Xenopus tropicalis: one gene and its partner. The protein of the gene in region 1 interacts with the protein of each later gene in a pairwise test. Links are inferred from orthologs where the notes say so. Each region holds a gene or a part of one and is shown in the gene's direction. Other genes may lie near its edges.

Region 1 (3,734 bases):
TTTTGTGACCCGCAGCCTGAGCAGCACCAGCACCCACAACAACAAAAAAAAAATGTGCAGGAAGAAGCTGTGAAGACCCAAAGACAACAGTGACAGAAGGAGCCAAGGAAACCCGAAGGAAGCCAAAAAGACCTGAAGACGAGCAGGACACTTAAAGACACAGCGGGACATTTCAGTAAGTATCTGGGACAGCGGGACGGTGTGCAAAAATGGGACATCTGGGGGTGTGGCCATATAGTGGGCGCGGCAAAATATTTTTTCCCTCTTTTTCGTTTTCAAATGTTGGGAGGTATGGCCTAGGGCCCAACGATTGGGGGATGCCAGGCAGGAGCCTCTCCTGCCTACCCCATGTCATTGCCCCATTGCCCCAGCCGCTTGTCATTACGCGGTGGGGGCAATGATCCATCGCATCGCACCCCGAGGTTGCCTAGGGCGCCTGGTCGCCTCGGCCCGCCCCTGAACAGGACCCCAAAACTCCCAGAAATGTGTTCAAACTTTAAATAATCTGCCAAATTTAGTCAAATGTGAGTGGTGTTTAGGGGGTGTGGCTGCAAAAAAATGGCCATGGTCAAAAAATCATTTATTTTTGTCCCTCTTTCCCTTTTCAAAATGTTGGGAGGTGAGATACTGAGTCAGTCTCAAACTGAGGGGGGGGAGTGATTGCTTAGACCTATAGCTTCAAGGAACCTTCATTATAATAATCAACAAAATGAAGAATCGCTATAAAAAATACATCTAAACACTAGTATTTATTATTGAAGCCAGTGGCGCAATATTATGCCCCAGCAAGAGACACATTCCGGGCCTGTGTATTCGTGCGTAACCCGGAACCAAAGTGCCGCGCCTGCGGTGTCCCACGGATTCCTGTCCCCCAGCAGAGTGTTCCGGAGACATGCCTCCATCCGGGAGGGCGGATTATCTCTATTTTTACGTTAAATCGGAAGAGTGGGATCGTGATCTTGGGACCTTTACAGTGTGATGGTTGGTGTGTGAGTGGGACTGAGCCGTACGTACCCTGTGCGTTACACAGCTATTATGTTGCTTTGGGCCCGGGGGTAGGGCTACACTGGCACCACTTCCCTGCCCGCTCCGGGCTCTCTCATTATCACACTGCCCCAATTATAGATTCTTTTCTACTCGTTTGATTCGCAGAAGAATCACAAAGCTGCCTTTTTATTTTGCATAAAATCTGATATATATTTCTATTACTGCAGCCAGATGAAGATGTTACTAGAGTAAAACCGAGGTCCCATTTTTATTTTTGGAACCCACCTACATGGAAGAAGGATTGAGGGAGGCTGCTGCTTTGGGGGATTTGGAAGAGGTGCAGAAGCTGCTGAGATGTGGGGCCAATGTTAATTCACAGAATGAAATCAATGGCTGGTAAGTGGCACCCCCAACCCCCATCTTGTTGTTTATATGGGGGTGGGGAATTGGTTCTGGAAGTGTAAGTTCTCCCTGCAGGGTAGCATGGCTCCAGTAGATGGGTATTCAGGTAGGCACAGTGGGACAAATATAGGGTCCTGTTAGTACTTGGGCACTCCTAGGCAGTTTGGGTGATGGGTGTTATTATGATATATACATATATATATATATATATATACATACACATACATACAAGAACAAATGGAGCACACCCTATACAAGATCAAAAGCCCTGAGTGCTGGCAAAAATAAATCCGATGTTTCGAGCACTAACGGTGCTCTTCCTCAGGGTTCGTGCTCGAAACGTCAGATCTTTTTCAATAAATACTTTATTTATATATAAATATATATATTTATATACAAAAAAGTTCTCACGACCGCACCTCACTCCAAAATGCTAATAAATAGCTGCCCATGTGCACGGAATACAAAATAAAACACAGCCAGCACCAAGGGTCTTATAGTTCAAAACAATCTCAAGTGTATTGCATGTATAACCAATAATACATGCAATACACTTGAGATTGTTTGAACTATAAGACCCTTGGTGCTGGCTGTGCTATATAAAAGAGCAATAAAGGCCAGCACTCACGGGACTTTTAAGAAAATATTGTGTCAGCAAAAATAAATGGTATACAAAAATTGTCTACATGGTTTTTTATATATATATATATATATATATATAACAAAATAAATATAGGGGGTCTGATAGCTATCTGACTAAGGGTCCCCATACACGGTAAGATCGCCAAGCGAGCGGATCTTCCCCCGATATCCCCACCTACAGGTCGGCGATATCGGGGAGCTCGAAGTTAAAAAAATAAAAATAAAAAATAGGCGATTATATAGGCGGCAATGTATCAGTCGGTTCGGGGACCGCATCAACGAGCCGATGCGGCCCCCGATCCGACTGAATCTTTTAACCTGGCCGATCGATAGCTGGCCAATTTCAGGCCAGATATCGGTCGGCCAGTCTGCTCGTTTCTGCCCCTACACGGGCAGATAAGCTGCCGAGTCGGCCCAAGGGACCCATATCGGCAGCTATTATCGGCCCGTGTATGGGGGCCTTTAAGCATCAAATGGACCTTTTCTACTCTCATCACAGATTTCTGCTTCAACCAAGCCAGAACCCTGCAGAGGTATGGAGGAGAAAATTAACAAAGCAACCATCCAGGATTTTGCTTTAAAGGGGTTGTTAACCTTCAAAATAATTTTTATAATAACATAAAGGGTGCTGTTCTGAGACAATTTGCAATTGGTCTTCATTTTCTAATATTTGTGTTTTTTTAATTGCTTTTTGTTCAGCAGCCCTTCAGCTGGGAATTTCAGCAACTATCTAGTTGCTAGGGTCCAATATAACTTAGCAACCAAGCAGTGGTTTGACAGAAAGACAGAAATATGAATAGGAGAGGGGCTGAATAGAAAAATAAGTCATAAAACGTAACGATAACAATAAAACTGGAGCCTCACAGAGCAATAGTTTTTTGGCCCCCATTTAAAATCTGGAAAGCTTAAAAAATATATAAAAAATGTAGACCAATTGTAAGAATAGGCCATTCTATAACATACTAAAAGTTAACCTGAAGGTGATCCACCCATTTAATTAAAGTTATCCATTATTAAGTATATATCTCTGTCCTTGTTCCTTATCCCTCTGCGCCATTGCTCTAAATCATAGCTGATTATATGCAGTGGGCAAATTATATATGATATTGCAGGTTTAAGGGCTGGATTACATTAAAAAGATAATATACAGTAAGGTCTGTGGAGCTTTTAGGCAGCCTGGGAGCCATAAAAATCCACTCAGAGGCCTCCCGTTGGATGGCCCTGCTCTAAATGATAATGTACCATTCGGGTAAAGGGTAACCGATCCGGTATTGTCCACTGGCTCTGACTTGCAGCATGGCTCCAGTGCTTTTGGCATGCACATATATGGGTTTAATAGCCAGACTCCCAGATGGATATTTTCATATCTCTTTATGGCAGTAGTGTTTTGGGGGGACCCATTCTCTTTGGGCCTGATGAAGGAAACATGGAAACATTGCTGCAATAAATGTAGGAGCAGGGACGGCACAGAGTTACTCTTTCTGTAAATTTTTAGGGATCGGCACTCCACTAAGGCTCAACTTTGTAGCTGCCTTTCCACCCTGCCTCCCTGCACTCACCCCAGTTATCAAGTGGCCCCAGTGGCTTCTACCCCAACTCCCAGAGTAGCATTGCCCCTCCCAGTATCCCTCAGGCTCTTGACTGGCATCCCACCCACACTCCTTGATGATGTCACTCACAGCTAAAGACACCCAGGGCGGCTT
Region 2 (3,756 bases), about 5.4 Mb from region 1:
CCTGCCGGCCGTGTCCCCTAACTCCCCCCGCAGGGCCCCTACCAGACGCCCTCCCCAAGCGCGTATAAAATTAACATGTCAGGGAGGAACAATTGGGCAGGGGGAGCGCCGGAAAGGGTCGGACTGGGCCACCGGGATTTTTCCCCGCGGCCCAGTCCGACCCTGCATATGAATCAACCAGGGAAAGTTCCATTAAATCACATTACAAGTAGTGATAGATTCCGGGGTGTCAGCAGGTGACAAAACACCACCTGTCCCATTAGGGGGAAGACACACAGAGATACTAGCAGCAGCTACTTTTTCAGGGCTACTAAACTCCAGAAAATCCCCTGCCATAGACAATACTGAGAATTACCTCTGCTAAAACACACAGAGACCATTTTCAGTAAATGATCAGCATTGTCTATTTTAGTAGCCACGACAAGTAGCTGCTACTAGTAGCTCCATGTGTCTTCACCCATAGTGTAAGGCTTCAGACTAAACCAAGTTTATTAATGGCGCCCCCTGGTTATATAACTAAGGATAACACCACTAACAAGCCATAAAGTTGGAACTGCATTTATCCCTGAACGCTCTGTACCCAGAATGCCCTCAGCTCGGTATAACGCTCCGTTAATAATGATTAATTATCAGCAGAGCAGCAGATCTCCGGGCACCTTTGCCCACACGCTACATTGCGTCATCCGCTGCCAAAGTTCACTTTACTGAGGCCAATTGCATGATGAAGGAAAGAGACGCCATTCATTCGCTAAACACGCCCCCTTTGTTTGTGATTGGCTACTCTGCTTAGCTGTCAAGCGGCGGGGAAGCCGCTGATACGAGTCAGGCGCACTGCGCCCCGCCTCTTTACTGCCCTATAAGGTGCAGAGCGGGTTATTCTTAAAGGGGACGCAGCAGCCCGCCCACTCTTCTTCTCCTGGCTCTTACCGTGAGATCTCCCTCCTCTTCACCATGTCTGACAAACTGTCCTACAAAGTCGGTAAGGAGGGAAAATCTTCGCGGGGGGCGTCTTGCTGCAACTTGATGTAGGGGGGCTGGGTGCTGCTGGGTTGTTTTTAGATGAATCAGTGCCCAGCCTGGCTGTAATTGCCCCTGCATGGCCAAAGCATGGACCAATGGGGGGGGGGGGAGGCATTATATCTTGCCTAGCCATAATAATAATAATTTTCTATATCTGAGGGGTATAAAAGGGGGTATTTATTGGCCATACACAGCTTAGTTGGTGTTAATGGGGCAGCTGTCAGATGTTGCCCCTAGCTGTGATGATTGGGGGTAGGTGTTATGTCATTATGCCTGGCACAGGGTCTGATTGGTGCACAGAGAGGGCAGATCAGTTGCCTTGGTTTAACCCTATTATTATTATTATTATTATTATTATTATTATTATTAATAACCCTGGGCCAAAAGGTGTGTAAATAGCTGGCACTGTGGTGCTAATTGTTAGTACATAGGTAATATTATTTCATGCCATTCAACCCTCCTATATAGCTGACAACTATGGGGGGCATTTGTAATTGTGTTATAATACATGTGTACTGCATCTATCATCTGTGTATTTTGGCAGCTTTTGCTCATTAAATTAGAAATGGCATTGCTTCTTCACTGTGTGTTCTAATGACAGTAAAACCTTAATAAATGTCATTTATACCCAGTAAATCCTAATGTTCCTGCACACACACTAATTGCTTTATATAACTGTCCCCTGTACATGTGTCGATCTGCAGCACTGCGAGTGCCCCGGGGCCACGGATCTCATAATCTCAGCATGGCTTTGCTCAGCCTCATTCTAATTGCAGGCAGTTCTTTTGCCCAAATCAGCAAACTCCAGGCTGCTGGGAGTTGTAGTTCAGGGAGGGGAGTGCCGTGCTGCTGTGGAGCGGTTGGCGGAACTACAAATTCCAGCTGTCAGTGCTCCATGGCTGCTTCCGTAAGCTGCCACATGTTGTAACAGGAGATTTGCAGAGTTCCATAGAGCAGGCGGAAGATATTGCAGCATGTAACATCTCTTCTGTATAGGGGGGCAGTGACTGTTGGTCAGGTTTTGGAGGTGCAGCATAAACCTTAATTGATATAAAATCTGTGAATGTACATTTGTGGTGTGTACGTAATGCTGCTTCTATAATAAACACTCTTATACACTTATTTGGAAGTGCTGAGTTAGAATGAAATCTCTAATACACTTTAATGAAGGATTAGAAGTCTGTTTTCTGATGAAAGCTTTGGGGCCATCACCCCCAAACTTACAGACCCCCCCCCCCATCATGCACTAGAAATCTTCAAATTGTATTGCGTAAGTTCTCCTTAAATAGGATCTGTATTCTGATGGAAGGAGGAGCTAAAAAGAAAAATGGCTGCCCTCCAGCAGTTTTTACCTGATGTTAAGTCAGGGCTGGGAAATCCTGATAGAGACATGGGAATTCTACAAGCTGCTCTTGCATATCACATGTATTTTAGCATAACTGTTCAAGGCGATAGTGATAAGGACAACAAAAGCATAACTACAACTCCCATAATCCATAAGCATAGCATTCAGGGTCAAGGTATCCCTATGTTTACTTTTTTACATTGTACAGTACAGTCATGCAAGTAGTTCTGCAACATCTGGGGACCCATGGTTATGGCTTTAATGCTGATGCTGCTACTTGTAACTGGCCAGAAAGGGGTTCCATTGTTTCCTATGATGCGGGTAGTATATTGTCCCCCCTCTTCCTATTAAATCAGCCACAAACCTACCTCCCTCCCTCCCTCCCTGACATAAGCCCTACACAGACATGTTAACAATCTGCCACCCATTGAACTGGGAGTTGATCACAATGGTTTTGGTTTTTGACATGTCTACTTTACCAACTTAGAGACTAGATAGTACAGGTATGGGATCTGTTATCCAGAATGCTCGGGACCTGGGGTTTTCCGGATAAGGGATTTTTCCGTAATTTGGTTCTCCATAACTTAAGTTTGTTAAAAATAATTTAACCATGAAATAAACCCAATAGGGCTGTTCTGCCCCCAATAAGGGATAATTATATCTTAGTTGGGATCAAGTACAGGTACTGTTTTATTATTACAGAGAAAAGGGAATCATTTAACCATTAAATAACCCCAATAGGACTGTTCTGCCCCCAATAAGGGGTAATTATATCTTAGTTGGGATCAAGTACAGATACTGTTTTATTATTACAGAGAAAAGGGAATCATTTAACCATTAAATAAACCCAATAGGGCTGTTCTGCCCCCAATAAGGGGTAATTATATCTTAGTTGGGATCAAGTACAGGTACTGTTTTATTATTACAGAGAAAAGGGAATCATTTAACCATTAAATAAACCCAATAGGGCTGTTCTGCCCCCAATAAGGGGTAATTATATCTTAGTTGGGATCAAGTACAGGTACTGTTTTATTATTACAGAGAAAAGGGAATCATTTAACCATTAAATAAACCCAATAGGGCTGTTCTGCCCCCAATAAGGGGTAATTATATCTTAGTTGGGATCAAGTACATGTACTGTTTTATTATTACAGAGAAAAGGGAATCATTTTTAAAAATAATAATTATTTTCTTATAATGGAGTCTATGGGAGATGGCCATAATTTGTAACTTTTTGGATAACGAGTTTTCGGATAATGGATCCCATACCTGTACAATCCAAGGATTTCATTTGTAATCTTCATAAGTTATTTCTTCTTTATTGAGAGGGTTTCTGCTTAGCAAAGCGGTATGGTATCTCCCACCTGTGCACGTGTGCATTTTGTGCCCTG

What was found.
Region 2: the proteins of ankrd40 (region 1) and ahcy interact in binary tests that used the Homo sapiens proteins (3 or more experiments, as listed by UniProt). The two-hybrid records come from large-scale screens. The link is inferred for Xenopus tropicalis from reciprocal best matches to the Homo sapiens genes ANKRD40 and AHCY.

Annotation. Positions count from the first base shown.
Region 1 is NC_030686.2:46,623,173-46,626,906, forward strand, and holds the start of ankrd40 (ankyrin repeat domain-containing protein 40), read left to right. Parts: upstream 1-909; 5' UTR 910-981; exon of another isoform or gene 982-1,214; 5' UTR 1,215-1,276; coding exon 1,277-1,383; intron 1,384-3,734.
Region 2 is NC_030686.2:41,230,325-41,234,080, forward strand, and holds the start of ahcy (adenosylhomocysteinase), read left to right. Parts: upstream 1-929; 5' UTR 930-951; coding exon 952-979; intron 980-3,756. UniProt on the Homo sapiens protein: Catalyzes the hydrolysis of S-adenosyl-L-homocysteine to form adenosine and homocysteine. Binds copper ions.